Linked DNA regions of Oreochromis niloticus. The protein of the gene in region 3 purifies or fractionates together with the protein of the main gene of each other region. This does not show direct contact. Links are inferred from orthologs where the notes say so. Each region holds a gene or a part of one and is shown on either strand. Other genes may lie near its edges. The genes, in order: prkacab, prkar2b and akap1b.

Region 1 (10,436 bases), on a different chromosome or scaffold from region 3:
GCCCATCGCTATTGGTCAAAGGACGTTCCTCGTAAGTATTTCTCAAGAAGCTGATTGGTCGGTCACATGTTACTGTAGCAATAAACAAGCTCGAAAATTTGCCGCGAACCGCGCGAGGGGACAGCGGGGAAATAAAATCGTTTAAAGTTAAAAATATAAAATTGAATCCAGCTGGCGTAAATATATATACATATATTTTTATTTCATCTAACGATCATTTCTGCCTTTAGGACATCATATATTTTTCTTTAATGATATAAAATTATTCCGCATTTTCTTCTACTAATGATAGCACAATGGACTTGTGAACTTTAAGTGGCATTGTATTCATTGCTGCTTTGCTGTGAACATTTGGTATCTATAATACTGAAACTTAAGTTTCATCACCTTTCCGATTTTTAAAAACTCTACTTTCCTGACAACAAAATTTAAGTATAAGCTTCAGTGTGAATTTATTTTTACGTATTATATCTTGGGCCATTTTTACTAGTACTTGACACAGCACCCTTAACATTTATTTGATTTTAAAATTAATGGATAAACAGATATTAAATGTAGAATGTACTGAACTGTCTTAAAATTAAGCCTACCAATAGCATCATGCTACAACTTCCAAGTTTAGTCTCCTGTTTTCTGCCTAATTAACGTTCATTTAAAAGTGAGCCCAAATAATATTTCCAAATGCACATTAGGAGCAAGTGGAGTTTCAAATTTTGTCAGCACCTCAAACACATTGACTTGCTTTTTGTCTCTCTTATATTCTGGTGCTAGTTGGACTGAGCCACAAATCTTGTTTTTTTTTTTTTTTGTTTGTTTTTCTTTCATTACCAAATCCAGTTATTAATATCCCACAACAACATTTGCGCCATTAAACATTTATTCAAATCAATAAATAGTGGAAAAACTTGTGGTTTTTATTGAGACTGATGCTGTGTTGGTTATATCTGGCCAGTGCTACAGGTAAATTTTATATGCATCACTAATACAAGGTGAATTAGAACAAAAAAGGACAACCATGAAACATTTTCTATGTAAATTGGATAAAGTGACCCTTTTAGTGAAAGTATCATTCACAATGCCCTATTTTACAGCTGTGTGTGTGTGTGTGTGTGTGTGTAAAATAAAAAAGTAGCTTGTGCATGTCAAACTATAATTATTAATTTAAAAAGGTAACATTAACCTACCTTGTAATAATAATTTAAAAACAAACCTCCCTATTTGTCCTCTGTGTACTGGCAGACCTGGAATGGAAGATCATTTATGTGGGTTCAGCTGAGAGTGAGGAGTACGACCAGGTTTTGGACTCTGTTTTAGTGGGCCCTGTACCAGCTGGCAGACACATGTTTGTGTTTCAGGTGAGTCCTCTCGGTGAGCTTTTATCGTGTAGTGCTTAACATCCAGTTTTATTGAAAACAAACCCTATTGAGCAGTATTCAAAGCAGACATACCAGACCGCACTGTCCCAGCATCTTTTTTCAAAGCTTTTCTGAGAGGAAACTGAGAGGTTCCCAGACCAGCCAAGAGACATCATGGCTGGGTTCTCACTGGGATCAGTGCATGTTGCTACAACACCTGATGCAGGAGACGCAGAGATGTAGTGGTTCTACTCTAAGCCCAGCTACCCTTTGGAGGATTGTCTCTGCTAGTATTTGTGGTCTACTTCTGTCAGTCTCTACCTTTTGTCTATAGGGTGAAGGTAGAGATGTCAATCGAACGCAACAAATAATATAGATCTGTCATTCTCCTGCTCCACTTTACCCTTGTCTCTAAACAAGATCCCAAGACAGATGAGCTTCTCCATGTGAGGCAGCATCCCCTTTTCCCTTATCCCCTTTTCTGACTAAGCTTGAACTTGGTGATGCTAATTGTCAACCATGTCTCTCTACAGTACTGTGCAAGCCTATACTAAGTCAAACCTCATTTCTTTATATTTTGCTTTCAAGGAGTCAAGACTTATCATTTTTGTGGTCTTGAACAATAGTTCTCCAAAGTCTCCTGACCTTTCAGTTTTTCTTTGGACATTGGCTACTTTTTTCCTCACTCATTTTCAATCTAGCCCTTGTACCTAACCATTTTCAAAGGATTTTTTTTCTTACAGTCACTTAACAATGACCTATGAACCATTCAAGCGTAAAAGAAAAATGGCACGTAACGATGAGAAATTTCAGGAAGTGGTGTGAACTTTAAGTGCAGAAAAGTACTGTCAGATTTTTCATCTGATGTATGACGGCTTTTGAGAGGAAAGGAAGCCATGGACAAGCACCTTAGCTTGTTTTGTCAAGAAGTGAATTGGAGGTTCTTGTCCAAGCCTCCTTCTCCTCTTGTTTGGATTATTGAATGGAGTTTTCTGTTCTGACTCAAGCATCTATTAATTCCCTTCAGTCTGTCCAAAATGCACCTGTGAGACTCTTAACTCACTCTCAAAAGGCTTCATATGTCAGTCCACTTCTAACATTTTTGCACTGGTTTTCTGTCAGGTTAGAGTACAGTTTTAAAATTTTGGTTTTTCATCTCCATTATCAAAGTGCTCCACCCCTATTCTCCAGGCCGAGTTCGTAGGTCCTCAGAAGCATTCATGTAATTTCATATATCCTTTTGAAAACTAAGGGTAGACTGTGGCTTCCAAACCTTAGCTCCAAAACTTTGGAACAGCTTCCCACTCATTCTTTGCACCTTCCAGTCAGTGGCATCCTTTAAACGGCAGCTTAAAATGCATCTGTTCAGACGGGCATTTGGGTTATGTTTGTGTTTTTGCTCAGTTCATGTGTATCCATTTTGCCTTTTTTAACCTCTATAAAGCACTTTGAGTGTTCCATGTCTTCAAAATTGTTATAAAAGTGATTTTCACATACTCCTTTTGCACAATATCATATATAATGTATTTGATATCCCTGGTTTGGTTAACCAGTTACTGTTTCATTTATAGGATAATTACTTAGAATTGATCTGATTTCTTCTCTGTGCTCATTTACCCTATCAGGCTGACGCTCCTAACACAGGGCTGATTCCAGAAAGCGATGCTGTAGGAGTGACCGTAGTCCTTATAACCTGCACCTACCGTGGACAGGAGTTCATCCGCATCGGCTATTATGTCAACAATGAATACACGGACCCTGAACTACGAGAAAACCCACCTCTCAAACCAGATTACTCTCAGGTAACATACACAAGTACACCAATGACCATCATGAATAATACTGAGGGAAGCTGTTTCCAGCTGTCTGCATTTACTGTAATTAATCACTGAAGTGTACCCATGGTGCTAATTTATTTTATTTTATTCAGATATGACCACATTACATCAGCATTAGATGGTATTAAGTGTAGAATATGGGCCATATTTGTGGAAAAGTACTATAAATGGCTCTCTGCTGCCCTCTTGTGCCCGGAAATGTACAATTACAGATGACTGTAGCATCCTGTACGAAATAAAAGTAGAATTAACTGGGGATTATTTAGCACTGTGTTTTTGTTTTATTTGGTCTTGCATTGTTTTAAAAGAATGCACTAGTTCCGGTGGAAAAAAGTGTATTTCATGCTTCCTTGTACCAGTATCTACATTAGCATTAAAATCATTACCTTGTGCTTTATTCTCTTTACACTGGTCTTTTCCTTCTACAAATCCAACATAAAACCAACTATTCATTGTATTTAATTCAAAGCTATCCCATGTTCTGAGGGGAAATGTGCACTCCTAAGGATGGCTGTCATAACTAACTATTGAGCTCCCTAATTAGTAATCTAATTATGTCCTGATGTAAAAACATTAGCAGTCCACCCCTATTTCTAACAAGTTCTCATCATTGCAGCTCCAGAGGAATATTTTGGCCTCGAATCCTCGTGTCACCCGTTTTCATATCAACTGGGAGGGCTTGGCAGACAAGATGGAAGACAGTGAGAATGTTGACCCGTCCCCCAACATCAGTGGCATGTTCCCTCCATCCTGTATACCAGGAAAGATGCCACATCTAGGAGTGATGCCAGATAACTCCATGGACTGCATGTAAGAGGCATCAAATTAATGCAATGGATAAGGAGCCCTTCTTATCTATACACGCCCACATTGCAAACACACATTTATACAAGGAGGCCATGGATGTTTCTGTATAACATGTGGACTTTAACAGAAAGCACAGGACACCACAGCATAGACATTATCTTTTTATAAAGCACTCAAAAATGGGATTGGTCTGGAATTGTTACCACCTTTGGTTCCTCCTCTTTACGCACTTCCTTTCAACACACACACACACAGGTGTGCACAGTCAGATTTGCCTTAATTTATTGTATTTCTGTATAAGATTATATTTCATGCCTGGCTGAAAGAAGTGCAGATCATCAGTGCAGGGCCAGGTCGCTTCAACAGCCCTGAAACGTGTGGGACAAACTCAAGATTCTGATACCCATGTTGTTCATTTTGTCCTTTTCTGCACAGATCAACTAGTGCTATGTGATGGGAAGGATGTAGCACCTAGCTGCTTATAGTAGAGCACTTCATTCTTTGTAAGATTTGTCTCTTGTGACACCTACTGGGGGGAGGGAATTGGGTTTAAATTATGGGCCGTGTTTATGATATTGTGGCATCAAGTGGCTTTATTCGCATTAACATGTTTTTCCCCAGGGTTATCCAGATTACTCTGTAAACCTGCTTCTGTGAATAGGCCCCAGTTCACCTACTGTTACATAAAACGACTATATGAGCAAAACATGTAGGTAATGATGAAGGATGCCAAATTGCATTGTGTGTGTGTGTGTGTGTGTGTGGATGATTTAGGCTTGCTGTAAATAATGTTTTCCCTGTTCTTATTTTGTCTTCAAAACAAGAAGGCATGTTTTCATTTTGTACTTACTATACATTCTCAGCTTCAGTATTTGTAACAACAGTGATGGGGTTAATAAAGTTTTTTTTTTTTTTTTTTTGACCTTGTCGTGTTTCCTGTTAATCAGAACATGTTACATACGGCTGCTTTCCACCTTGACTTGTGTGGAAGGAAGCACTGCAACAGCAGAGAGACTCAGCACGTTGGCTTGCTCCTCGCCCTCCCATCTCTGGCTCCTTTCTGTTTTCCGATTTCATTCATAAAATGCAGCACCACCATTTTCACTCTAGCCTCATGTTGCTAGGCAACTACTGCACAAAAGGAAAGGGGGGCCTGTCTGTGTTCTCTTGCCCATTTTATCTTAGTTGAAGGGACCAACTCCCCCATCCATCCATCTGTTACCTCTGTCCACTTCTTACATGTCTGCACATTTGACCAGTGTATTTTCATATATTCATATTTAGCGGTAAAACCCATATGCAGCTTCAATTGTCCTTTAACAGCAGCCTGTAGCAGCGCTCAAATGATTCGTAGGTTTTAGGGGTCATGTAGATTTAAATCTTAAATTTTATTTAATTTTTTTTTTTTATAAATGTCTGCCATTAACTTGTGAAGCATTTGACATCATTGTTCTCATCATCATGTCTTTTGTGGTGAGACTGTGATATGTAAGTTACAACCATGTATAAGCAGAATTAGTGATTTGGTTGTTTGAGTCCGTTTTACATAACCGTGGTGGTGTCGTGTGAGCCCAAATGATGGTGTCAAACCCTGCAGCAGCTGAGAGATCTCGTATTCATAGAATGGATGTTTTTTCATACCATGAGTTTTTTTTCTTTTTTTTAAATTACCATCACAAGGTGAAATTGTCATTGAAATTAGATATTCAGATGCAAATCCATGTGAAACCGAGCCTTTTGAAGGTCCTGGTAATAAAAGGACTCTCGGTCATATGCTAGGCTAAGCCTGCAGGTGATCCAGGTGCTGGGGTGGTTGTGCTGTGTTGAAGGAGGCAGTTGGAGGGTTGACTGTAAAACATTCAGAAAGACGGTATCTCTTCGAGTGTTTAGAACGACCGTCTTGTTTCCTATTATTCTCACTAAATACACTCATCATTTAACGCACGGCGGTCTGCGAAATGTTTAGAAGTCCTGCCAGCCCGACCGCGCCGCGCGTGCGTTAAATTCTGACCAACATTTCTAAAAATAGCTCGCGGTTGACGTCACTTGGCCAAACGTGTATCAGTCGCTTGGCGGCGGTGGGAGTGGGGGGCTGAAGAGGGGTTTTTTTTCTACCTGCCAATCGTTACTCACAGCCAATAGACAACTTCACATTCGCCGAGATTCCCACGGTTCGCCTGCATCGAGCCAATGGAGGACGGAAACCAGGAAAAGTGGGCGGGTATGTCGTCGGGAGGAAAATAATCGGTGACGTTCCTCTCACTCGCTTTGTGTAGGGCGGTAGGATGGTGCCGCTCTTGATGGATTGCGAAGAGCCAATCAGTGCCTTCCGTGGGATACCGGCATACATAGGTTGCCAATCCGCGGGTTGGTTGCAGCTGTCAATCAAAACCCGGTTCTGGCTAGTGGGCGGGACGTTCAGTCGACTGTAGTTCCGTCATCTCGCTCGTCTCCGAGGCTACGGGGGGCCAATGTTGATTTGGGTGAATTCCCGTCGTCGTCGGACCCCGCCGAGGTTTAATTTTTAAAAGCTGGGTTTAGTAACGAAAAGTGGCGGCTCTTGGGCTGAGAATATCGCGTCCCCGCCTCTGGTGTCGTTTTTCTTTAGGCTGGGGAGAGGTGGGGAGCCGGGGGGGCTCGTTCGGCGGGGGCTGCAAGGAGGGACAGGCGAAGACTGGATCCTCCGTGTTCAGGCCATCTGCGCCGAGCTCGGCCTTACGGTCCAGTGAAGCCCCAACGACCGAGATACCTCAAAGGTATCCTCCCCGTGGATTTGAGCTATATATCGGTCGCCCGTTGCTGATGACTGAGTGAGTGAGCCCGCTTTACCATCTCGTCTCGCCCTGGCACCGCATCAGCATCTGCCAGGCTATTAAAGACCAAGACCTCGGAGTTAACGCTTGGTGCTTTTGGATTTAGAAAATACCGATCAGACCTAATCGAGATTAGACCGGCTTGAGAAGGCTGCAGGGCGGCCAAAAAGCCACGGATCTCCCGTTGACAGGTTGTCATCATGGGCAACGCGCCCACGGCCAGGAAGGGCAGCGAGATGGAAAGCGGTGGGTACCATCGCCTGTACGCTACACATAACACATTGCTCTGTTCCAGCCTCACGAAATCACCAGAGACGGTGTGACACAGCGGCTATGTTAGCTTCAGTTAACATTCCATGCAGCGGCCTATTTCTGCTGTCTGATTTAAAAAGATCCACTCATACTGCTCAGTCCTTAAATAAGCCTCTGCCAGGATAGCTTTCAAGAGCCCAAATTACGCAGCTACATTTCAACTAACTAACCTCATAATATAGAGATAGATGAATAGGTGCTCAGTAGTAGTGGTCCGTTTTGAACAGAGCTTTTTCTGTGGATTCAGTTGATGCTGCTGTATGATAAAGCAGGTGGTAGTACAGTTTCCATAGCCAAATCACTTCACGAGGTGCAAAACAACCAACAGCTATTGTAAGCTGCAAGAATCTTGGCAACTTCACATCCTCTTGTACTCAAATCTTGGCGAGATCACAACAAGCTATGTGTCAGATATTTCCCAAACACACAGTGCCTGTTGCTCTCTGGAAAGAGATGCTGCTGAAAGTGTGGGGGCTATTTTGTTTGGTGGACCCCCTTAAGATTTGCAGATTGACACTGAGCTAGTCTGATTGTCTGCTGTACTGTAAGTCCAAATACAGAAGGATGAATGTGCTCATGTCTGAGGTTATTCTGTTGTGTGTGGGTTTTTTTTAAACTTATCATTTTTGGAATAGCAATTTATTAGAAATGATGTGTAAAGGTTTATTTAGTTATGTATGTGTCACAAACTGAAGTAAATCTGAATACTGTGATGGATCTTTTTTTAAGAAAATCAAAGAAACCGGTATGCCAAAAGGACTGCTTGACATTTAAATCAAAACATCTAAGTATATGGCATAGCTACTTGGTATAGATGCATCCTGGTCACTGAGCAGCTGAGTTGTTTAGTTAAGGTGAGAATGGAAAGTGTTGATATTTAATAGGTGAACAAGTGTTTTGAAATGTGTCCTGGAATTTGAGCTTTTAAATGAGTATACTTGTTGATGAGATTTCAAGTTCAGGTATTTTTTTCTGCACTTGAGAATATTCTGCATGTAGTTTTCAGACTATCAGTCATATCTGGACTAATTGCTGTACATTTAGAAAAATCCCAACACAGCCTGAATTACCTTACAAACAGATAAGATGATCAGTGTGCGTCTCAAAACTTTCGACACATTGGCTAATCATCCATGTAGCCTCTGGGTCTTTGTGAGTAATAGTTATGAGCAGGTGGTTTTACGATGGATATGAATAAAATTTGATTTAATTAACAATTTTTAGTCAGACTCTGTGCTGTTGACTTCAGACAATAAAGTATGTGTTCTATTTCTTTAGTTTGCTGTTTTTTCACCTTCTGTATACACACCGATGCCCCACTAAAGCCTTTCTTATGTAAACACTGGTGTGTGTTTTTTCCACAGTCAAGGAATTCCTTGCTAAAGCCAAAGAGGACTTCCTCAAAAAGTGGGAGAATCCTGCACAGGTTAGTGTGTGCATGCACTTCTGCCCACTAAGCTTCAGAAATATGATACACAGGATATATTGTTTGTAATTTAATCCTAACTTTGTTTGCATGTTAGAAAAACAGAATTTTCAATCTAATTCTTTATGGCCAAAGAAATATATACATTATTTCTGTGTGTGTTGCTGCTTTTGAAAATGCCAATCATAGCTACTGAAATTTCACTTGTTTCATGTCTTTATTGTTGATTTGTTCAGTATTACCAGCTATCACTTTATGCAAATGACAGCCAATTCTTTTGAAAATTTTGATATATTCAGATGGCGGTATAAATAAATTGGTTTGTAAATAGCATCAGTTTTATTGTTTATTGGCTATTGGTTAGTGATGATGCTACTGTCTGACTGTTTTTAAAATGCAAGTTACTGTTTCAAGTAAACTGTGACATAAAACAACTTCATATGTTTTGTCATATTTAATGCTGCAAATTAAAATTCAATATACATTTTTCATATTGTATGCAGTATGAGTAAGAAAGTTAGAAAATAACCCGTAGGGCAATGTCAACTGTATCAACCCTAAAGCTATAAAAAAAATGTTGTTTTAGATCACCTAATATTCTTCGTAGACATTAATTAAACCATTAAATCTGTAAATCTGTATCAACATTGTTTGATTTATACTGTATATAATTTTCTCCATATGTTTTGGGACACTGGCTTATTTTTTATCCTTTATTAAGCTTATTGAAGTTAAATGATGAATGTGGGGTTAAAAAATATACAGAATTTTTATTCAGTTTTATTTATTATTTTCAGATTGTCAAATGGACAAATTAACACAATGATAAAAATGGCCCATTGCAATACTGTAATACTGAGCAAAGCTCACCAGTACTGCATTTTTTGAAATGGATCTCAAGGATAGCTTGTTTCACTTGAAATGAGAGCTCTTTCAAACACATGTTGTGGCTTCATAGCTCCCAAATGCATGTGCCACACTTCAAATCATCTCCAAAACTTTTTTAAAAAAATCTACTTAGGAAGAAGTAATGAAGAAACAACCTACAGCTGTCAGTGAAACAGGTTATGTAGCAATGATCCAGTTTCATTTGAGCTGCGCAAACTATGGCACTGGGTATAAAAATTGCAGTGAAGGCAATATTTTTGTTTTGACTTTTGAGATAAAACTGAATATCTAAACCTAAACCCATATTTATCATATATGTATGCAATGAAAGTCTATGTCATTATCTAAAAATATATAAGTGTTAAGCACGATTTGATTCTATGTAGAAAAACATCAATTATTTATGATAAATAAGTTTCTAGGACCATCTCAGCATCCTGAGAAACAGTTCAGGTACCACAAACATGAGTTATAGTTTTTTCTTTATTGTTCTTTAAATTTACACTGTATCATGTATGCACATGTGTATTACTTTCTATTAAGAAATTATAAACCATACATACCAAATATGTTAATTTATACATATATTATCTATTGCATATTTGTTTATAACATTTGCGAAGAATATAGACAATAAAAATACAAGAATTAGTGGTAAATGTGAGCACACGAGTAGCTGAAAATAAAAACTCGCTACCAGCAACATGACCCTAAATATCCCATTTTCACAAAAATCAGCTAACCGTTTTTGTTTTGTCTGTTCAGAACACTGCTTGCCTGGAGCAGTTTGAGAGGTTGAAAACCCTGGGCACGGGCTCATTTGGTCGTGTTATGCTGGTGAAGCACAGAGAAACGGGACAACATTATGCGATGAAGATCCTCAACAAGCAGAAGGTCAGTCTGGGTCAGGGGTCACCAGAATCACAGAGGGATTGGGGTGTTTAAATGCGCTCCCGTCCAATTTTTAGTTAGTCTTCCCACAGGATTGTCATAGAAA
Region 2 (10,675 bases), on a different chromosome or scaffold from region 3:
AGGAAACATATGTGACTGCAGAGGGCGCCCTATAGCTGACAAACCTTTTCCCTCACTCAAAGGCACAAGCAAGGCTGGAACCTCATGTTTTAAAGGTTGCTAAAGTTGGACCCACTTCAAGTTCATATCCTATCGCTTGTTTACAAAATAAACAAGGGCCATGAATAAAGGGTCGACTGTTTGACTGGATCCATTTTTGGCAGCACTCTTCCTCATTGACCTAAACCAATTATTGGTCAAAAAGGGCTTCCTGTTTGAGATTAGAGACGCAAAGAAAACAACCTACAATCCCTCAGGTCAGCACAGGACATGGCAGCAACCTACCCAGCTTGCACTGAGAGGACATAACTGAGACGTTACCCACAGTTCAGCGATGGCTCTCATAGTCACTAATAAACAGCAGCTTCTCAGAAATAAGTCAGGCTGCAACTGGATACTGAAAGCAGCTGCTGTTATAAAAACAGTTTCATGTTTTGCGGGTTTTGCTTAAGCAAAATAGCATCCATGCTGAAATGTAACAATAAAACGAACAGAGCCTGGAGGTAAAACAGCTGCTTTCGCCTTAATTTGTGTTCACCTAATGATGGTTTCCACACCGTCACAGATAAACTCCCCGTTTACTTAAATCATGACAGCTGACAGCACAGCACGCTATAAAAACCTGATTAAGCATCCAACTGTGCTATTGCAGGGGGGTGCGGTGTAATGGTTTACTCACTAGGCACCAAAGGGCTCCAGGTGAAGTGGCGATTATTGTGGCTGCCCTGGGGGTGTTGTACATCAGCGCCAGTTCTCCAAAGCTGCCTCGGTTGTCATAGCAGCCCACCAACTTTTCCGTGCCATCAACCTTCACGAAAATGTTAAACGTGCCACTGAATGGAAAGAAAGCGGGGGAAAAAACATCTTTAGTTAGCACAAAACAATGATTTCAGCAATTATTTAGCAACTGTGTTCACTTTTTTAAGTTAAATAACAACCTATAAAGCAGTTTGAAATTCAGGAGTAAGTTAAGCCCACCTTTCGATAACATAGAAGTTGTCCCCGTCATCATCTTGATCAATGATATGTTCCCCTTCCGTGCAGAACTTCTCGAACATGGCATCCAGCACCTGAGACATCTCTTCCTGTCATGGTGGGGGGAAAAACAGCAGTCAGACAGTGAAAGAATCACGCTGAATGCACTCAGAGTTCGTTTTCGAGCTTCCAAAACAAATAGATAAATAACCATCTCTAAAAAAATCAGGCACGGTGCACTGGGCATGCAGCAAAAAAAAAAAAAAGAAAGAAATTTGCTGGCCTTGGGCCATGTTTCCCTTTGTTTAATTTAGGATATGGCAGGGCACAAACCAGAGAAGAGCTTATGGAATAATCCACTCACAGGATCCAAATTCTTGAACAGAAGAATGTCCCTACATGCTTCCTGTAGTCTCTGTCTCTGCTCATCAGTTTTGGGGTGAGTGACCTAAAACATAAATCACGAATCAGACTTATAACCTCTGAACAGTTAAACCAATTGTGTAAATAAAATAATCACTGGATGGATGCAGTTTACCCTTGGCTCTTTATCCTCATCATCTTCGTCAGGATTGAATGCTTCAGCACACACTGCATGACACAGACACACAAATCACATTTACATTTCTCTTATTGATGAGCAGCAGTTATTTTGTCCATACAGTGTTTTCAATTCTGGGGCAGTTTTCTTGTTATTAGCGACAGTAGATGTCAAAGGTGTTTGTAAATAGAATTGTTAATTAATCCCTTATTAATTGCTTGTTTCGTCCCGTTCATGAATTATAATGCTGAAGTATACCAGCGTCTCTAGGGTCTCTGAGAGCTCACTTCCAGTGGAACTGTCTACCAGGCCTTTATTTGAAAAAGCTTCACTTTTTTTTTTTTAAATGAACTTTTAGATGAATAACGACACCTTACATAACATCTGAAAAACAAATGTTCATCTTCAGGTGGCCCACGGCACAGACTTCATCCCAGTCAAACAAAAAAGGCAAATTCCAGGGATGATTCAGGACCATTTCAGGCAATAAATCTTTCAATAAAAACAACTTTTCTCATCTTGAGTACAGGAATATGCGGTGATGGATGACAGCACTCTTACCGCATTTCCTTCCTATATGTTAACAGAAAGATGGGGTAGTGGTATAAAAAACTTTCAACTTGGCACAGGCTAAAGTGGAATATAGTAAGTGGCCAGCTTAATGTTAACTTAATTAAATTTGTTTTCATTTCCTGTGCAAGCTTTACAGTGTACTAAGTAGAAGATGTTCGTTCCCCGTCTGAAGTGATAAGAGGTAAGTTAAATACCTAAGTTATTAATAAATAATTCTTTCCATTCAGAAAGGCAGACCAAGCAGCTATCCAAACACAACAAAGTTATGTGAAGCCGCAACTTTACTATTGCTACATTACTCACTGACGGGTTCAAGACAAAGTGGCTTCACAAGCTGTAACAAATCAACACGATTACAATAAGTGGAAGACGGTAACAAAAGACAGATGGAAAAATACTTAAGTATCACTTGTACTGAAACCAATCTGACGCAGCCTCGCTAGTCATGTGTCACAGAAGGCTTTATTTAATGTTTTCAGCTCAGACACTGTCCAGAGTTTCCCTCCTTGACACAACAGGAAGATGGCAACTCACCTGATGCTCTTCGGATGAATCTGTTTATCACAGGGGCTGGAGAAAAGAAAAAGAAAGATATATATCTGGGTTGGGTTTTTTTTAAAAAAGCATGTTAGATTTCACCATAAAAGATATCCATCCATCACAAACTGTTATTGCTAGGAAGGTTTGAGGCTGTTGTATTTCTACATCTACACATCTACAGCACAAGTGGAGCATTCTCATTAGGGTCTATATTCATCTGAGTAAAAGCTGAATGGGGGACAGCTGCTTTGAAGTGGATTTTAGCCTTTGAATCAAATTTAAATGAGAAAAACAGTGCCAAGCTGCTACACAATAGGTCAGTATGAAATATACATTAGATAGGAGGTCTCATCCATTAATGGCCTGCCAACCAGTGCTGACCGGGGAATCTCGTTGAAATATGGGAGGCATTAATGGTGGTTGGTTGGTTGGTTGGGGGGGCACAACAATGACCCAAAACACAGACGTTTAACAACTGCATGTGAGGCATTTCTCCTTATGTAACCATTGCAGCCAGTCTTGCAGAAGCCACCACTCATTGGGATGCTGTGTCAGAGCTCTGGGTTGCTTCTGGCTGCACCTCATTACACTCTAGCAGCAGTCACTGTGTTAAATACTTCAGGAAATGTAGGCCTGTCGACGGCAGATTGTGTACTGCCTGCATCTATATAACAGCTGAAGCTGTAGCCCTTTATGTTTTACAAGCTTTGTCTTTTTTGGGGGGGGGTACATATGAAGGGGAGGCCCACCGGGCCTGCACCTGAGACAGAAAACATTCAAACGGTCCAGATGTTTTTATTACTATCATAATTATTTATAAAGCAAACGTAGAAGCCGCAGTGTGCAGGTGCTATTCTCTGAGCAGAAACGTGAAGAGCAAAACACGTTCGTGAAGCAGCATTGAGCCTCGGTGACCATATATGGCAAATGACAGAGCCGTTGTAAATGTATGGCGGCAGCATCAGCGCGCTCGATGTGGTTTCTCATTCTCTCCCACAGAACAGCCGCGGTGCAGCCATCCATCCATCCATACATGCTCACAATTCAAAGCAAAGCATCTCGAGTCACGTTCAGCATCCCCCTGACAGAAACACGCACGGTGAATGTGTTAGCCCACCTATGAATTCCTCGTCATCGTCGTCGTCCTCCTCTCCGTTTTCCGAATCGATCTGCATGGCTTCGTCAATGAAATTGACCGCTTTCCCAAGTCTCGGGGCCGAATTTTGGTCATTGCCAAATGAGGCCTCTTTGGTCTCGTTCTCCTTAAGCTGGGTGAAATACTGTAGCGCAAACTCGAGCAAGTCCCTGGGCTGATTCCTCAACACTTCCACGGTAAAGCTCTGTAACAGCTCCGTCAGTCCTTCAGGAATTTCTATACTCATTCCTGTTATCAGTCTATGGATGTGGACAAAACCGGTTTGCTGCGAATTTCAGTGATTCAAAAGCACCCAGATCAGGTTTTCTTCCCGTCGTGTTTTTTGGTTGGCTTTTTTTTAAAGATGCCGAAATCAGCAGACGGGTGTGTAGTCAGACCACCCGCTCAGCAAGCCCTCCACAGCGGATCCTCTCTTTTTCTTGAATGAAAATGGCTCTGGATTTTTGGTCCGAACATCTTCTGCTGCTTCTGGCTAGGAAACCCACGCATGTGACCCAGGAATCCATGGCAACCACCTATCCAGAGATTGCGTATGAGCAGCAGCGGCGCAGAAACTGCAGTCAGTCGCAAAATACAAATGATGGGAAAGAGAAGCCCTGGGGAAGGCTCTTTCAGTCATAGATCGATTTTTCACTAACAGAGATTAGATCAAATATCCTGCGGTCTGGCATGTATGTTTTCCGTGGTTGTTCACTCACACTTACCCTAAACGATTTAAAATATGATTAAATAAGAAGACATCGCATATTATTTAAAAAGAAAAAAACAACAGCAGTAGACATAGCAAGGCTAAAGACAAAAAGGTACTACCATGCAATGATAAACACTGAATCTGAGGGAAATGTATCTATTTTTTTGTTTTGCCACATGTAATTCATATTTAAACAGGTAAACATTAAAACCTAAGACCTCTGTAAAGACCTACAGCTCAATAAAGATTAGTTCTGTATTTTTATTTAGGCTTCTTTTTTTTAAAGGAGCTAATAAGAAAAGATCGTTTATGATAGTTTAGAGAGTTTGGAGGCTCATTTCTTGTTCCATAGGGAGAAAATAATAATAAATGTGCTGGATATTTTAATGTCATGGGACCTGTCAGAACACTTTGACCACGCCAGATGGAAGTTTCATTTCAGAATCAAACGTTCCCCTGTGATATCACGGACTTGTGTAGCTGAACATTTAGTACATTAGAAAAACGGCTCAGACAGAAAAAATAAGTCTAGGTCTCAAACTAAAGCTCATTAATCATAGACTTCATATGGACATCTATCAAGAGATGAACTAATGATGCTCTGCTGTGGGTTACAATATGACTGAGCCACAAAAATGCATATCCACAATATGAGTTCAAATTTAGTTGACACTTTCTCGTACCAGAAACATTTGTAGGAGTGACATGAGTTCACAAGCCTGCAAAACTACATTCTGTCAAACAGCTAATCCAGAGAGGAAGGGGAAGTAGAGCAAAACAAGGGGGTAAGGGTTAAACTGGAATGCAGAGCAAGTGGGAAGTCTGCCCACTTGCTGAGGTTGGGTGACCTCAGGTGAGTTTTAGTCATGGCATGTGGTGGCACAACTACTACAGTGTGAGAAATCCCCCCCCCCCCCCCAAAAATCCCTTCTCATATTGTGTTGGAATTTCAAGGCTTCCAGCAGAGAGAAGGTTAGTTTGAGGGAACCACTTGAGGAAACAGATAATAACTGTGCTAAAGGAGCACAGCTATTATCTGCCATGGTTATCATTCCTCTGTGGCTCCACTATGACACCCCTCCCCCTGCTGTGGCCCATATCTGTCACCCTTTATTAAGAAAGGCGCAGCATTTCTCACTCCGGCGAATGGGAGCATGTCGATGGAGTGACCTGTAATGCTCCACTGCTGCAGTTTAGCTGTTAGCTTTCAAACTCACTATTCCAGACCACTGTGAACTATAAGACACCCCCCCACACACACACACACACCCCCACACACACACATCTGAATACAGCACAACACCATCATTTCATCTACTGTAAGAGTCAGCTGCACAAAACACACACACTGTGCGTCAGCCCTGTTCACTGAACCATAGATCCTGAAGACGGTTTCTACTTTAAGCTTCACAACAGACCAGTAGAGCTTGCATTGGTGTAATTGTTAACTACACTTAAACAGCGAATTCTCTGTTGATATACAACATACATATATATACATATACATATATATACATATACATATATATATACACACACATATATATATATAAAGAAAAGAACAGTTTTCTTTTAAAACAACTTCAAGATACTGTTCATCAGATGTAGATTTTTTTAGGCCTGCATTTTTTTCTTTTATTCTACAATGGCATTCTTTCACGTGCATTTCAACTAAAGAAATGGGGGGGGGAAACATGTCTTTTTGCAATACTTAAATAATACTTGCCAAGTGAAGTGGGGCGAGATCAGCTTCGAAAGGGCTCCATGTTTTTATTCTATGGCTTCATCTCAAAAATGTGAAGCTGAAACCTCTTAAGTCAATTTAATGACGTAATGATTGAGTGCGTCCTTTAATTCATTGGCTGCTAGAACCCATTTTGAATGTATTAGTGCCACCTACTGGACATCCCACTACATTACAATGTATTGTTAAACTAGGATACAGTTGATGTTGTTTCCTGTTTCAAGTGCCATTAAGTTGCCGTCTTTCCTGAGTGTGTTGGAACAAATGTATTTCTTGGGTAAAATAAGCTTACTGTGTAAAATTAGATAATTAATTCAGTGGTGAAGACGCCCCCCCGCCAAAAAACCCCACAAACAAACAAACAAACCCCAAACAAGTTTTATCTCTTGCATCTACTGGCTGTTCCACATCCTTGTGGGTTTCATTGCTTTCCTGTAAACCTTGACAAGCCTGTGGTCTGCATGTTTAGGTCATCATAACAGATTCTGAGATAAACCCACACAAGTAGATTTTATTAGATTTAGCATTTAGTGTACAATATTATTATAGTCAAAATCACTATATCCAACAATTAAGGCTAGGCACCTAGTTCTGCTCACTTTCAGTAAAGAAAAAAAAAAAGAAGAAAAAAAAAAAAAGGCATGGCTCAATGAAGACATCCTGTACAAGATGCATCAGTCTTCATGACATCTTACCAGTAAGCCATCTCCCCAGGGTTGCTGTAGAGAAACCACAGGGGTGTCACCCTCAGTGCACTTAATATTTTTTTTTTTTTAAATGCATCCTTCCTCATTAAATTTGCATAAATGTGCAACCGAAAAGAACAGTAAAGTATCCTAAATGTAGAACAGCTCATGTAACCATGACTCTTTACATCATTTCAGTCTGAAAACAAACTGTAAAATGTCATGGCACCCTATGTATGGGTAGATGTATTACACTATAAGCTACAGCCAGACTGTACTTTTGATATGTTGGGATTAAGATGACTGAAAAAGAAAATAGTAGCCAAGACCTGTCTGAAAGCAACTCTTTCAGTTTTGAATAAAACACCAGAAACGATGCAAGCATTTTTTCCACGAAACATTTATTTGATCAATAGACAGGATCACATCTTTCCATAAACAGGTCAGTTAAATATTAACAAATTTACAGTCATGAGGAATGTAATACAAAAGAAACAAAAACAAATATTCGCTTTAAAAAACCCCAACCCAGGGACCCCACCCAGAAATAATGTGGCCACGGTGGCACTGAAACAGAGACTTAAGTCCATTTTCCAGCTCCACTGTTACACGCTCTTCCCTTCAGTGCTTCACAGTTCATCCTTGTCTTTTGTCTGTAAGAGTGATTAGAGAAAAGTCAGAAGAGTAAAGCACTCCATCATCTAGATTCTTAATTTTACATTCTCCTCAAGCAAGAGTGTGTGAAGTGTTCTCACCGTTTCTTCATCATCATCCTCATCCACAGTCTCCTCTTTATCTTCAGAGTCATCTTCTGCTGGTTCCTCAGGCTCCTCCTCTGGTTCTTCTTCAATCTATAAAAGAGTCATGATCATTAAATATATCCTACAGTCTTAAATATCACTGCAAAAATACTTAACATTTTACAAAGATTTAAAAAGCAGAGACAGGACTAAACTCAAAAAAGGTCACTGATGGAAGAGGAACCATTAGTTCAGACACAGATACCAAAACTGAAACATCTGCTATGCAAATTAGTATACCATACAAGAGCTGCAGTTACTTGCCTGTTCATCTAGTGGTACATTCAAGCTGAGTCGGAGCATGCGCTCTATTCTGTCTCCATAAGCTTTTGTATCAACGAGCTGGTATCCTGAGCGCAGTGTGGCTGTCTCAAACAGAACCACAGCCAGATCTGATGCAGTCTGGTCCTCAGCATCGGCCTGGGGGGTGTGAGGAAAAGAAACTGTTCAACTATGTGCTCTGATTGGTCCATTTTAAGTTTATTCATGTAATGAACTACATTTACTAAGTAATTTGATGGTAATCTTAGTAAAGGACAATTACTATAGTACAGATGTACAAAAATGACAGTGGTTAAACTCACATTGACTCTGTTAAGCAACTGCTTGACAAGAGGATGTTTGGGGTTGAGTTCTAGTGTTTTCTTCTGGCTGGCATAGTAACTGGAAAGATTAAACAGAAATACAGATTTAGAGCAAAGCAATAGCAGGTGGAGTAATAAATGGACATGCAAAGATCAGCACGGGATTAACACTCACTTTGTGGAAATGTCCTTTCCTGTCTGGTAGGCCTGTGCCTTCATGATCCTCTCCATGTTTCCTGACCAGCCATACTGACTGGCAACCAAGGCGCAGGGTGAGTTGGTTAGCCTCTGAGAGAGAACAGCCTTCTCAATCTGTTGGGGAATAAACAGCAATGCATTAAATGTTGCAACAGACATAAATGGGCAGCTATAGCCAAAATTAACTGCTTATACAGCTGGCACTCATTTCCCATTCTTTTAATATCACAGCATTACCTTATCCTTTAGAGCTTTGTCCTTCAGCCAAGTTGTGAGAGGTTCGAACTCCTTCTCCAGGGCCTCCCTCTTCTCCTTGGCCTTTTCACTCTCGTCAAATTTGACACCTTCCTTGGCCACGTTCTGGAAGCGTTTTCCATCAAACTCTGGCAATGCCTGGATGCAGTACTCATCCACAGGCTCTGTCAGGTAGATGACCTCATAGCCCTTCTTCAGCAGCCTCTCAACGAAGGGAGAGGACTCAGCCTGTAGCGGATGGAAGAACAAGAGACATGAGAATTTCAGCTAGTGTAGGATAGTTTACACTTCTTTCACCTGGCCAAAAACATTCACTCACCTCTTTCCTGCTGGTGCCAGCCATGAAATAGATCTTATCCTGCTTCTCCTTCATGCGCTCCACATACTGCTCCAGGCTGGACAGGTCTGTTTCACTGTTGGAGGTTTGGAAGCGCAGCAGCTTAGCAAGACGGGTCCTGTTGGAGTGATCCTCAATCACACCCAGCTTGATGTTGGTGCCAAACTCCTTCCAGAACTTGTCGTTGTACTGTTCCTCTGCAATCTTCTTAATCATGTCCAGAGTCTTACGGACCAGCTTCTTGCGGATAACCTGAAAAAGATAAAATAGGTATGACCATTTCATACTGCATTAAATCTAGTGTTAGTTATTCAGAATCTTTAACTTATGCTTTAATTTAACCATATTCTAGTGCCCCCTGTTATTCCTGAAAGCACTTTATGATTTGCGCTCATTAAAAATTGCTTTGTTGCTTCATTATCCATTTTAATCAGTGGCTTAATTGGTTAATGATGACTAAATGATGGAATGGGAAGCGAACAGGGCTGCATGTTGAGCTCACCTTGAGCAGTTTGTGCTGCTGCAGAGTTTCTCTGGACACATTCAGAGGAAGGTCGTCAGAGTCAACCTAACAAAATAAAGTTTCCCTTAATCACGGTGCAGGTGATATTAATGCAGAGACCAAGCACATAACATTAGCATGAGATCGTCGAATAAGAGTTAAAAAATAACTCACCACTCCCTTGATGAAGTTCAGGTACTTGGGCATCATGTCATTGAAGTCGTCTGTGATGAAAACTCTCCTGACAAACAGCTGCGAATGGAAGGCATTTACTTTGAAACTCAGTTTTTGGGGTATTGCTGAAAAAGTTGAATAAATCTGATGCTAAATATTGCTTAGGCTACACACCTTGATGTAATCGTTCTTCTTGGAGCCATACTCGTCAAACAGCCCACGGGGAGCTGAAGTGGGCACAAACAGGATGGACTTAAAGGTGACCTCACCCTCAGCTGTGAAGTGGATGTGAGCCATAGGGTCATCATTGTCCTGTTGGAAGATGAAAGATGGGTAAAGTTGACATTAGTATACCAGCCTACAGAGCCGGTTTGACGAAGTATTACTGGTTGTGTGCCTACCTTTGAGAAGGTCTTGTAGAAAGCCTTGTACTCATCTTCCTCAACCTCCTTAGCCGGCCTCTGCCAGATGGGCTTGATATCATTCATCAGTTCCCAGTCCCACACAGTCTTCTCAACCTACACATCACACACAATTATATAACTTTTGAAAAATATACATTTTAGATCAGACATATTTTCACAGACTGCTTTCTGAGTAAAATAGTCCATAAATCTTAATGACTCAATGGGACTTTAACCCACCATAAAAAACTGTTAATGATCACACATATGTCAATATAGTCCTCAACCACCATTTCTTCATTAACATACCTTCTTTGTCTTTGGTTTGTCTTTGTCCTCTCCTTCTTCTTCCTCTACTTCAGCCTCATCTTCAGAAGCCTCTTTCTCTGGTTCCTCTGCTGCCTCAGCATCTTCCTCAATGGGCTCTTCAACCGTCTCAGTCTTGAATGTTAAAAGAAATTATGCAACCGTTTGTT
Region 3 (10,086 bases):
AACGAAGCCGACAGCACAAAGCAAAGTTAAAAACCAGCACAAAAAGACTTTAAAACGATCATTACAGTGATTCTACTGTAGAAACATGAAAAGGTAGAAACGGAGACCATGTTTTCCTACTCTGACAGGCAAACTTGAGTCAGCTGATTGTAGTACAAGTACAAATGGAACCAATAAACGGGATCGACAGGAAAACAGACTAACAATTCGAAGGAATTGGACTACTGAGAACCAGTTCTCGATTCCCATCCCCAGTAATAGACAGTGAATTGTAAACTCGCCACAACTCGACTCGGATCGACTGGTTTTCCATTCGCTATTTAAGTTTGACATTATTAGCCGTTTCCGGGTCCAAACTCCACTTCAAACAAACACTGCAGCATCACTGAGAGTTACAAACTGTCTAAATTCTTTCATCTTTAACAAAATGATCAGTGTGGCTGCTCTACCAGGTGTAAAAATTTAACATCCAGGCATCCACCAAAACAGAATTTATGAATTTTAACGGAGTCTGAAGTTAGAAACTAGCGAGCTAACTTACTGGCATCTAAAGATGATATACCATGTTCTGACAGAGGGATTTCTGAAAAACTAAAAGTACAGCTCTGCTATCACTTCTGTCTTCATTTATGTTGGAAAACTAAACAGTAATGATGTTTGTAGGGTTACTGAAGTCAACTAGCTGGTATATAATGATGTGCTATGTTGTTGCTAGGTACACAGCTATGGTTAGAATAATATACACACAGTGAAGCTGGAGGACAACCACTAACTTTTTTTCCCAGTCCATAAAAGTTAACGTGACCATTCCCAGTGGTTATCGACAAATGCAATTGCATGGCAGGATGTTGTAAATGGACGAAACTTCAGTCAGAAGAACAACTGAGAATCCAACCACAATACAATGTTAGTCATTAATGTGCTGTTGCATGGGCAAAGGTTTTTAAAACGTGCTGCCGATGAATAGTGGTAATAAAAACTAGCAGCAACCCAAGCGCATTGCTGCCCCAGACAGGTCAGGAGTACAAATTGAACATTTTTTTTTTCTGTTAAAAATTAACAGAAAAACAAACAAACAAACAAACAAACAAAAACACAACAATAGACAAGCCATGGTGGCTTGTCTATTGTTCAGATTTACATGCCACTTCATAAATTTACCTGCATTTGCCCAGTGGTAGGTGCCAATTCCCACCCCTGGATAAAATGCATTTTGGGGATCAATCTTTAAAAAAAAGACATCAGAGGTCAAATGTGTTGGATCAAAACTATGTGATATTTAGATTTCCCATTTACCAGTATAATTTTCTAAATGTTGCCAATACAAACACAGAAGTAGAATTTTAAGCATAGTTTTAAAGATGAAGCATTTTATGAAAGGTTGACATAATGAAAATTTGACCTTATTTGACCTTGAAGAAGCAGTCAAAGCTCCAAAGTAACATATTTGGAAACTTCATGTTTTCGACCTGTCCCTTTCTGCAAAGATTTCAGTCAGAAATCTTTCATATTTGTTCAATGTAACTGAAAGGGATAATGCTGCGAGTGCTGATAGCTTTGTTTTGAAAGCAGGGTTTTTGACTAACTCTCTCTCCTTTTAAAAAGAACTTAATGGCATTCACAACTTGGCCAGAAAGCTAATGCTGTTAAAGTGGAAATCCTCAGCATCACCTATTTATATAAGGTGGATTTGGGGGGGGGGGGGGGGTTCCTTTATTTTATTTAATTTGGGTATAAAAAAAAAAGAAAAAAAGAAAAAAAAGACAGCAAATCACTGAAATCTTTAACAAGACTGGCTATGGATATAGACAATGGAATAGAGCAAACGTTAGTGACCTCTGCTACCTGGATAATGTATGGAACTCGCATGAAACCCAGTAACAAGGTGGCTGGCACACTATACAGGAACATGTGTGCAGAGTATGGCCCGGAAGTCCCAAGGTCAAAACGGAATATGCCCCTCAGGGTGGTTGAAAATGACCAAGCTAAATCCTGTGGGATTTCACACAAACTGGTGATGGCTAAACAACTAAAATATTACTAGTGGACAAGCAGAGGAATAAAGCCATAGTAGTACATGTAACTGTACCAAATGAAAGCAAAAATCAGGAAAAATTAATATGTAAAGCTTGAGAAATGCCAATGGCTGAGAGAGGAGCTAGAGAATAAGTGATGGGTAAAGGCAACAGCAGTCCCAGTGGCAATCAGAGCACTTACAGCAGTGACTCCCAAACTGGGCGAGTGGTTCCAGCAGATCCCAGGAGTAACATTTAAGATCTGTCCGGAAAGGACCAGCAAAGATGCAACACATGAAGCTCCCAGACTTCATGTGTAGCTTGTGTGTGTTGCTGTTAAATCCAAGGACAACACACTCACCATATAAAGGTCACAATGGAAGCAACAAGCTGTAAAATGAAGAGCTATCCTTACAGGTCAGACAAGTCTTTATTGGTTCCTTTCCTGGCCTTATAGTCAAGACTGTCTATAAACTGTAAGATCATCTCTTACTGTGACCTTGGCTGTTCAAACAGGAATGATTAAACTATTTTACACCTTCTAAATCTTACATCATGCCAGCACAGACAGACTAGTGTAAAATTATTATGCGGCCTCAAAATACCTGCATACCAACAAGTTCAGTGTCACTCAATTCCCACCTGTTTGCGTTTAAACTTTATTCTTCATGTCATACATTTTCTCATATCCCTTTAATCACCATCATTCATGTTAAATGAACCTTGGGACTCACCATCAACACTACGACAAATTAACAATGAATGTGACACTGTTTTTAAATAAATGAAAACCAAATTATTTTATGTAAACAAACCGAATTGCAGACTGACCGGGATATTAATACAATATGCTGTCAAGTCTTGCATACCCTATGGGCAAAAGTCAAGACCTTACAGGAGCCATGCTGCTACTAACAACTTAGTAAACTTAGGTGGCGTTGATAGTTGCTACAGCCACATACCAGTCCACTTTACATGTGACCCAGGCTCCAGTGATGTACAGAAGGTGCGCCTCAACACCCCAGCCGTCTTTCAGCAACGACTCAATAAATGCTAAAAGCGTTCAGCTAGCTATGCCTTAATACTACAACTGTAGGACATTGTGTAGTTCCCTATAATGCTAGTGGCGATGCTTTCTGTCCCAGCATAAAAACAAACACACACACAAAAAAAACAAAAGAACAAAACAAAACCGTGGCGTGTGGTCATGCACTCCATCGCCACAGACCGGCTAACACAATTAGCTAGCTAGGAAGTACAAAGGCCACAATGTGAATTTCATATATAATTCTCGAAGTTTAACGTTACATGACTATATGGTAAGGAAAAATGAATTCACTGTGCATACCAAAATAACATTTTCACTTGTGACTCAAGCGATTCATTTTGTCTTTATAAGGGGATCCCTCACAGTTCTTTGCATTAGCCAACTAAAACCTAAATAACCTTCGAAAGAAGCGCAAAAATATATACTTAGACCCTGCTTATGAGCAGGCAGCAATTTATAAGAACTTTAACTTACTTTACGCTGCCAGGTCTTTTTTAATGCCGAATTTTTCAGATTCTAAAAAAATATCCAACAGCGAAGTTATGCCCCGTACTAAACTGAAAAACCTGCAGCCAATAAGATGTTAAATCCCATACGACAAATGCATATAGGGAGTTTGGCACCGTCTGGGATGAAACCCTGTAGCAGAGATGGCTGTGACCTAATGCAAACACGAAATACAGCATGGCTGTTTAAGGAGGCCGCAGTGCAGGATACAAAGCATGAAGTTAGCTACATAGCAACCACAGTGGCTTTGACGTTTATGAAAATTAACGCTAGCTAAACATGAAAAAAGATAAGCTAATGGCATGTTCCCTGCACTGTATTATTTTTAGACTACGTTCGTATGTGGCTACATTATTAAAGCCACTTCAGAGTTTCATATCCCCGACTTACAGACGTACTGGGCCACAACATAAAGCTGTGTGATACGTAGTCGTTAACTATACCCAACTGCACCAACGAGGGGGTATCTCTAATCGATGCAGGGTTAAAGGACATTTGAAGCCAAAGACTGCCAATGCCCCGCATGGGCCTTAGACCTTCATGCTAGCCTGCTAGCCGGCCTGGCGACAATGACTCCCAACTCTGGGCCAAAATGCATTTATTATTATCCAAGAACCAATGCTCCTACGTTGGCACGTGCACAGCTCAACAATACAAAGCAAGTGCGAAAATGTAACTTCTACAACAGAAGCTACGTGTGCTGTTCTGAATGGCAAGTTAGGAGGAGTTGCTTTGTAGGCTAGTTTTTCAATGACATGGGATCACATGGTGACACAATAAACATTTGACGACCCACAGAGAACACTAGAAATGCAAGTGAATGTCTTTTCCCCTAAAATATACTCACATAAATGTGAATGAAACCGAACCATGCATGCAATACATAGAAAACTAAAAGCTAACAGTCTCTTTTTTCAGTGTGCCATTTCCTTCCCGGACTAATTATTTTACTTACAATGTTTTTGGGTCCTCGGTACCGCAACGATGATAGCAACACTAACAACGTGAGCTTTTTTGAAACGTACGCTAGTGGAAAGTCACACTCTCCTCCCCACGTGTTTGACAGACCAGTACCAGTCTTAAAAAAAAAAAGAGGAAAAAAACACGCAGACATAACAGCTGATCAAATCTCGCGATACTCTAAAGTTTAAGCCGCTTGGAGTCTTGCGTCAACTGAGAATGCAGTAAAGGTAAACGTTTCTTCTGTTAAGCTCATGCAGTTTCATAGGTAGATTTAATATCATCCTGGTCACCTCTACTATAAAAATGGGGAAAAAATAACATTCGTTTTTGAGTACAGATGGGACAGAGCACCGTTTTCATATAATTTTACTATATAAATGAATGTCATCAGATTAAGGCAAAGGTCACGTTAGAAGTAGCACAACTTTACAAACAGAAGGATTTGCACCTTGTGTGATAAGTAAAATTAAATTGGTGCATGTCTTTGTTATACAATTTTCTGCTGGACAACCTTAAATAATGGCATTTATTTATTTATTTATATCACTTTGCATTGCAGACCAAGAACCCTACAGCTCCAACAGGACAATGTACCCCTCCACACAGCAAAGCTGCTCAGAAACAGTTCTAACATCAAGACAAGGAGCTCAAGGCATTGACCCAGCCTTAAAATGTCATAAATCCCTTTCCAATCAAAAATGCAAATCCCTCTGTTATTTAAGCTGAGAGCGAGAGAGAGTCATTGTGCCCAAATCAACTGCCCTTACTTAGACACACCTGACCAGTCTCACAAAACTGCTTTTCAAAGTAAACCAAACATTGAGCACTCACAGAGTACAAACTCTCTCTGAAGGTACCTCACTATCTGGGCAGTATTTCCTTTTAAGGCATTAGTACTGTATTTTGGTTTTCTTTGTTGTTGTTGTTGTTGTTGTTTTTTCAAACATACTTTAAGTTTGTAGTGCAGTAAAAACAAGTGCAAAGGCTTTTGTTATATGCCCTGTTGAAACCCATTTATACTTGACATAAGTTTAAGTATAATTATTTTGTGTTCATTTCATTGCTTAGTAAAGTTTGTTTACATGTTTAGTAATAAATTGAACAAAGGTTTTGATCACAAGATTGTTTTATATTTTTTTAGAAAAAGAAATATACTTTTAATAAACTTAGCACAACAATTAAGGTAATTAGTCATTGGCAGAGAACACTTTGCAAGTTTTCATGGATACAACCCACATCCTCAACCCACAAATGCATTTTAGTTACAACTGTGGCACCAATCAAGGAGAAATAAACAGGCTTTCCAGTGGTATAAGAAAAAATTAATTGGGAGAACATCTCTTAACTGTCATAGATACCAAATATAGGCTGAGTGAACAAAAACAGCCAATCAAACAAAGAATATAAAAAATCAGGAGATGCCTTTTGTCGTAAAATGCAAATCATTCAGCAAAGTAAGAGACACTTTAACCAGCTCAGTTCGATAATTCCAAATTTCAGTCAGCTAAATGACATGTCAAAATTAAAAAAAGTTTTACTAACAGACTGCTTAAATAAATTACAATAAATCTTTCCTGATAGACTTTGGGTTATGTTAATACTGACCTGCAAGCTAATTAGAATTGCACAATCTCTGTTTTTGTCTTATATAATGCATATACATATACACTTGCATGTTTCAATAAATCACTATACCCATTTTCCATTTTTCCTGCTAAAAGTATTGAGAAACTTAGACTTAGAGACTTAGAGCTTTTTATTGTCATTGTGCAGTTTCTTGCACAGCAAAATTGGGTAGCTGGACCACAAAGGTGCAAAAGTAAGAAGAGAAAACAATGTACAACAAGGGGAAAAAAATATAAATAAATAAATAAAATAAAATAAAAAGCAATGTATATGTATACATATATGTGAGTGAAACTATATACATGGTGTATGTGTAAGAAACATTGAAACAGAAAAATTGTGGGTCTGTATACAAGGGCAGTTATATAATATAATAAATAAAAAAGGGTGGAGGGGCTATGGTAATTTAGGGTGGAGATGGTAGTTCTACTGGGACCCAAATATTGCACGAGCCAAAAATATTGCACAGAACATGGAAAGACTGAGATATTGCACATAGATGATCAACAGCAGTGTCAGAGTGGATGTGTTGGAGAAGTCTGTACGCACTCTTAGTTTGCATTAAGAGTTCTGACAGCCCACGGGAACAAGCTGTTCTTTAGTCTGTTGGTCTTGCACCTGATGGATCTGAACTTTTTTCCAGAGGGCAGGATGTTGAAGAGGTGGTGGTTAGGATGGAGGTGGTCCTGAGTGGTCACCCAATCCTACACAAAAGAGTCATCTCACAAAATAAAATCTGACATCTAAATGTTCACTTTTTAAAATTGCTATTCAGAATATGAACCGACTTGTCAAGCACAAGAAAGTGGCACTCATGGGATCATTTTCTGTGGAAGAAGAGTTATATCAATGTGAAACATCCATTTTATATTCATTAGATGCTGCCAAGAGAGTGGGAAACCCTGGGTTAATTTAGAGAGTTAATAACTAGCTTTGTGTGGCCACTTATTATGTGATAGTTGCTTATTTCAATGATGACAAAATGGTGATCAACTCTGCTTCCTGGTTCCAACTCTGGATAATTAAAGTAAAAGAGACAGACAAGCTGCTAAAATCTATAAAAGAGAGGAAACATAACAAAACCATTAAGTTGGTCACCAAACAGCAAGTTAAAAAGGTAGATCACCAAAAAACACAATCCTGGTTGCTGGTCAGCAGTGTGTGGTGTAGTTTGGAAGTAGTTGGAATGTTGGAGTGTTTCTTCAGTTTAACTATAACTAGTGGACTGGATTTGGATAACAGATGTTGGATTTGATAAATTGTGTAGGAGGACAAGAGGAGTGGTGTAAAGGTGAAAACCTGCACACCACTCCTCTTGACCTGTACAGGTCCAGTAAGACAGAAACTTTTGGGCTTCCTCTTGGCCTCCTGTATCGTCCAAGAGGTTCATTGAAGCATTGAGAAACCACAAACAAGAAGACACCGCTGCCATCATCGATACAGGCTGTTAAACTGGTGGAAAATGTGAGTAGAGCTAGAAAGGTTTATGTTGCACCTATAAACAGAGACCAGTTAGGATTAAAAATAAATGTTACGTCTGCTAGTGATGATTCCTTTTGTATATTTTTTCTCAAATTCAGAAAGCTTTGGAGAATGTGGTTACATGGGCTAATGATTGGGGCTTTAAAATATCTATTGATAAAAATAAGTATATGATATTTGGACATAAAAGGAAGGTTCCACCTAAACATCTGCAAGTCTATGGAAATGACCTTGAGCGAGTCAAGCTGTTCAATTTTCTTGGAATGTGGTTGGATAAGAGAATGACTTGGAAAAGCCATATTGAGAATATCTGCATAAAGTGTGAAAAGATAATGTGCTAAGGTGCCTAGCCGGGTTTGAATGGGGTGCCAGTACAGAATCATTGTTGATGATATAAAGAGCCAGCATTACATCTATCATTGACAATGGTTGTATGGCATATGCATCAGCTGCCCCTTCAGTGATCAAGAAGCTGGATAGAATTCGGTGGAAAGCACTGGACATTTTTGCACCACTCCACTTCCTTTTAATAGAAATGGGTGAAATGCCTTTGAAAATGAGAAAATATAAGCTTGGGCTGAAGTATTTAATAAAAATAAAAGGACAAAATGTAATAGTTCTAGTTAAAACTGAGCTAGCACTGGGATCAGCAAAGAAAGTCAAAACCAACTTTAGTGAGGAGTTGAAATCCATGGCATGAAAAAATTGGATTTGTTGATATGGATGTGTGTCCTCCTGTCTGCTGGTCAGGCATACCATCATGGCTCATTCCAGGTCCTGAGGTTAACTTATAGGCACTCAGCAAGAACGGGAAAAAGAACTCAGCAGATATCGTAAAAATAGCTTACTCAAGGATGGAACAGCTTTGGAATGGCTATTTACAAATTCATACAGAAGGGTCAAAGGTCATATAAGTAGCAGAGTGGCGTGTAGTGTGTACATATGTGAAAAGAGAGTTTAAAAAAAGCTTGTGTATAACAGATCGCATGTTTAATCTTTACAGTAGAGGTGATGGCAGTTTTATGGGCTGTCTAGTGAGTTGAGTACCAAAGGCATGATACTGCATCATATACAGTGATTCAGCTGCAGGTTTATTAACATTTAAGGAACAGAACCAGACCTGACCTGACCCTAGAGACATCTTAATGTAATGCAAGGAGCATGTTCATCACAGGGAAAAGCTTTTTAGAGACTTGGAGAAACTGGGGAAACTGTTTTCAATATTTTTAAAAGGAAAGCTGTTACATTACTTATGCAGTGCTAACCTGTATGGGAGAATATAGAGACCTGAGACTGTGTGGCTAGCTTGCTTATTTAGAAAAAAACTTGGGAAGTTGTAAACAGTAGATGGCAGCAACACGCCATTGTTTATCTAGCCTGCCAACCCCAAAGAAGAACCACTCTCCTCTCCACAAAGCGGGAGTTATCAGACACAACACACGTTTAATTGCTAAGTAAGGTCAGCTGTACCAAAAATGGTTTCACCAATATCTGTAGGAAATATGTACGACGTTGCTTCATTTCCTCCCATTTTTTGAAAACAATGTGCCGGGGGTCAGGCGTTCTCGTCAGCTGTAGTGAACCTTGACCTCACCGTCAGGTATCAAGCTGGTGGGTTTGAAGTTTACACATCAACATTCTCGCTTGAAGATCTCTTAAAAGTTTATTTTGTGTCACAGAAACTGTAATATCGCAAACTTTTTACCCGCTCTCCTCTGCCATTTGAGTTTTGGACGAAATGCATTCTGGGATATTTAGCTGCACGTCACTACCGATGCGTGCTCCATAGAATGGGAGGAGCGAGAACACATCCGGGCATTTTGAGCGTACTTGGAACAGTACTTGGTCTGCGACTGATGACGTATCACAACGCAAGTACACGCAAATACGCATATTGAGAAATGGGCCGAGTTTTAAAGACAAAAAGTAAAGAAAGTATTCCTGTGTTTCACTTAAAAAGGGATTATGTTCAAATAAATGGTTATGTGAGAATATGCTAGAGACCAATCTAACTGAAGTAGAATTACATAAAGTGAAACGTGTTATATCCATAGTGAATGTTCAAATGTGAAATGGGAAATTTATTTTCTATTTTACTAAATAACACAGAAAAGAAGAAAATGTTATGAAATTATTTTGAAGTTTAAAGTTAAACCCTGTATTAAATCACGTATGTGAAGTCATGCCCAATTGTAATAGCTCCGTTTATTGTTACTATTATTTTCCTCAAAAATTGTCTTTTTAACATGCTCAAAAAACCCCATAAAACTGCAATATTTTTAGTTGAAACTTTTGATTTTGCACTTCCCAGACGTTGTACTTTTGCAAACTTCTAGGGATTTTATCTAATCAACTTCATATTTGCTATAACTTAAAGAAATCTCATCCTATCTCTACCAAACTCCACAGGCATGATAAGATCTTGGTGTTCCTGGGCGTGTAACT

What was found.
Region 1: the proteins of akap1b (region 3) and prkacab purify together in Homo sapiens (affinity purification with mass spectrometry; 8 studies listed by BioGRID and IntAct, with this or other methods). This does not show direct contact. The link is inferred for Oreochromis niloticus from reciprocal best matches to the Homo sapiens genes AKAP1 and PRKACA.
Region 2: the proteins of akap1b (region 3) and prkar2b purify together in Homo sapiens (affinity purification with mass spectrometry; 3 studies listed by BioGRID and IntAct, counting the BioPlex papers as one, with this or other methods). This does not show direct contact. The link is inferred for Oreochromis niloticus from reciprocal best matches to the Homo sapiens genes AKAP1 and PRKAR2B.

What each region holds. Positions count from the first base shown.
Region 1 is NC_031971.2:31,065,148-31,075,583, reverse strand, and holds the start of prkacab (cAMP-dependent protein kinase catalytic subunit alpha), read left to right. Parts: upstream 1-6,258; 5' UTR 6,259-7,013; coding exon 7,014-7,059; intron 7,060-8,489; coding exon 8,490-8,551; intron 8,552-10,204; coding exon 10,205-10,333; intron 10,334-10,436. Other genes in the region: asf1bb (histone chaperone asf1b-B), read left to right, coding at 1,240-1,355, 2,981-3,157, 3,810-4,007.
Region 2 is NC_031972.2:48,754,644-48,765,318, reverse strand, and holds the start of prkar2b (cAMP-dependent protein kinase type II-beta regulatory subunit), read right to left. Parts: upstream 4,346-10,675; 5' UTR 4,051-4,345; coding exon 3,786-4,050; intron 2,699-3,785; coding exon 2,663-2,698; intron 1,606-2,662; coding exon 1,553-1,605; intron 1,463-1,552; coding exon 1,379-1,462; intron 1,125-1,378; coding exon 1,018-1,124; intron 873-1,017; coding exon 719-872; intron 1-718. Other genes in the region: hsp90b1 (endoplasmin), read right to left, coding at 7,575-7,598, 7,701-7,796, 8,010-8,165, 8,330-8,408, 8,505-8,641, 8,765-9,010, 9,102-9,371, 9,622-9,687 and 4 more. UniProt on the Homo sapiens protein: Regulatory subunit of the cAMP-dependent protein kinases involved in cAMP signaling in cells. Type II regulatory chains mediate membrane association by binding to anchoring proteins, including the MAP2 kinase.
Region 3 is NC_031979.2:5,261,083-5,271,168, forward strand, and holds the start of akap1b (A kinase (PRKA) anchor protein 1b), read right to left. Parts: upstream 4,679-10,086; 5' UTR 4,526-4,678; intron 1-4,525.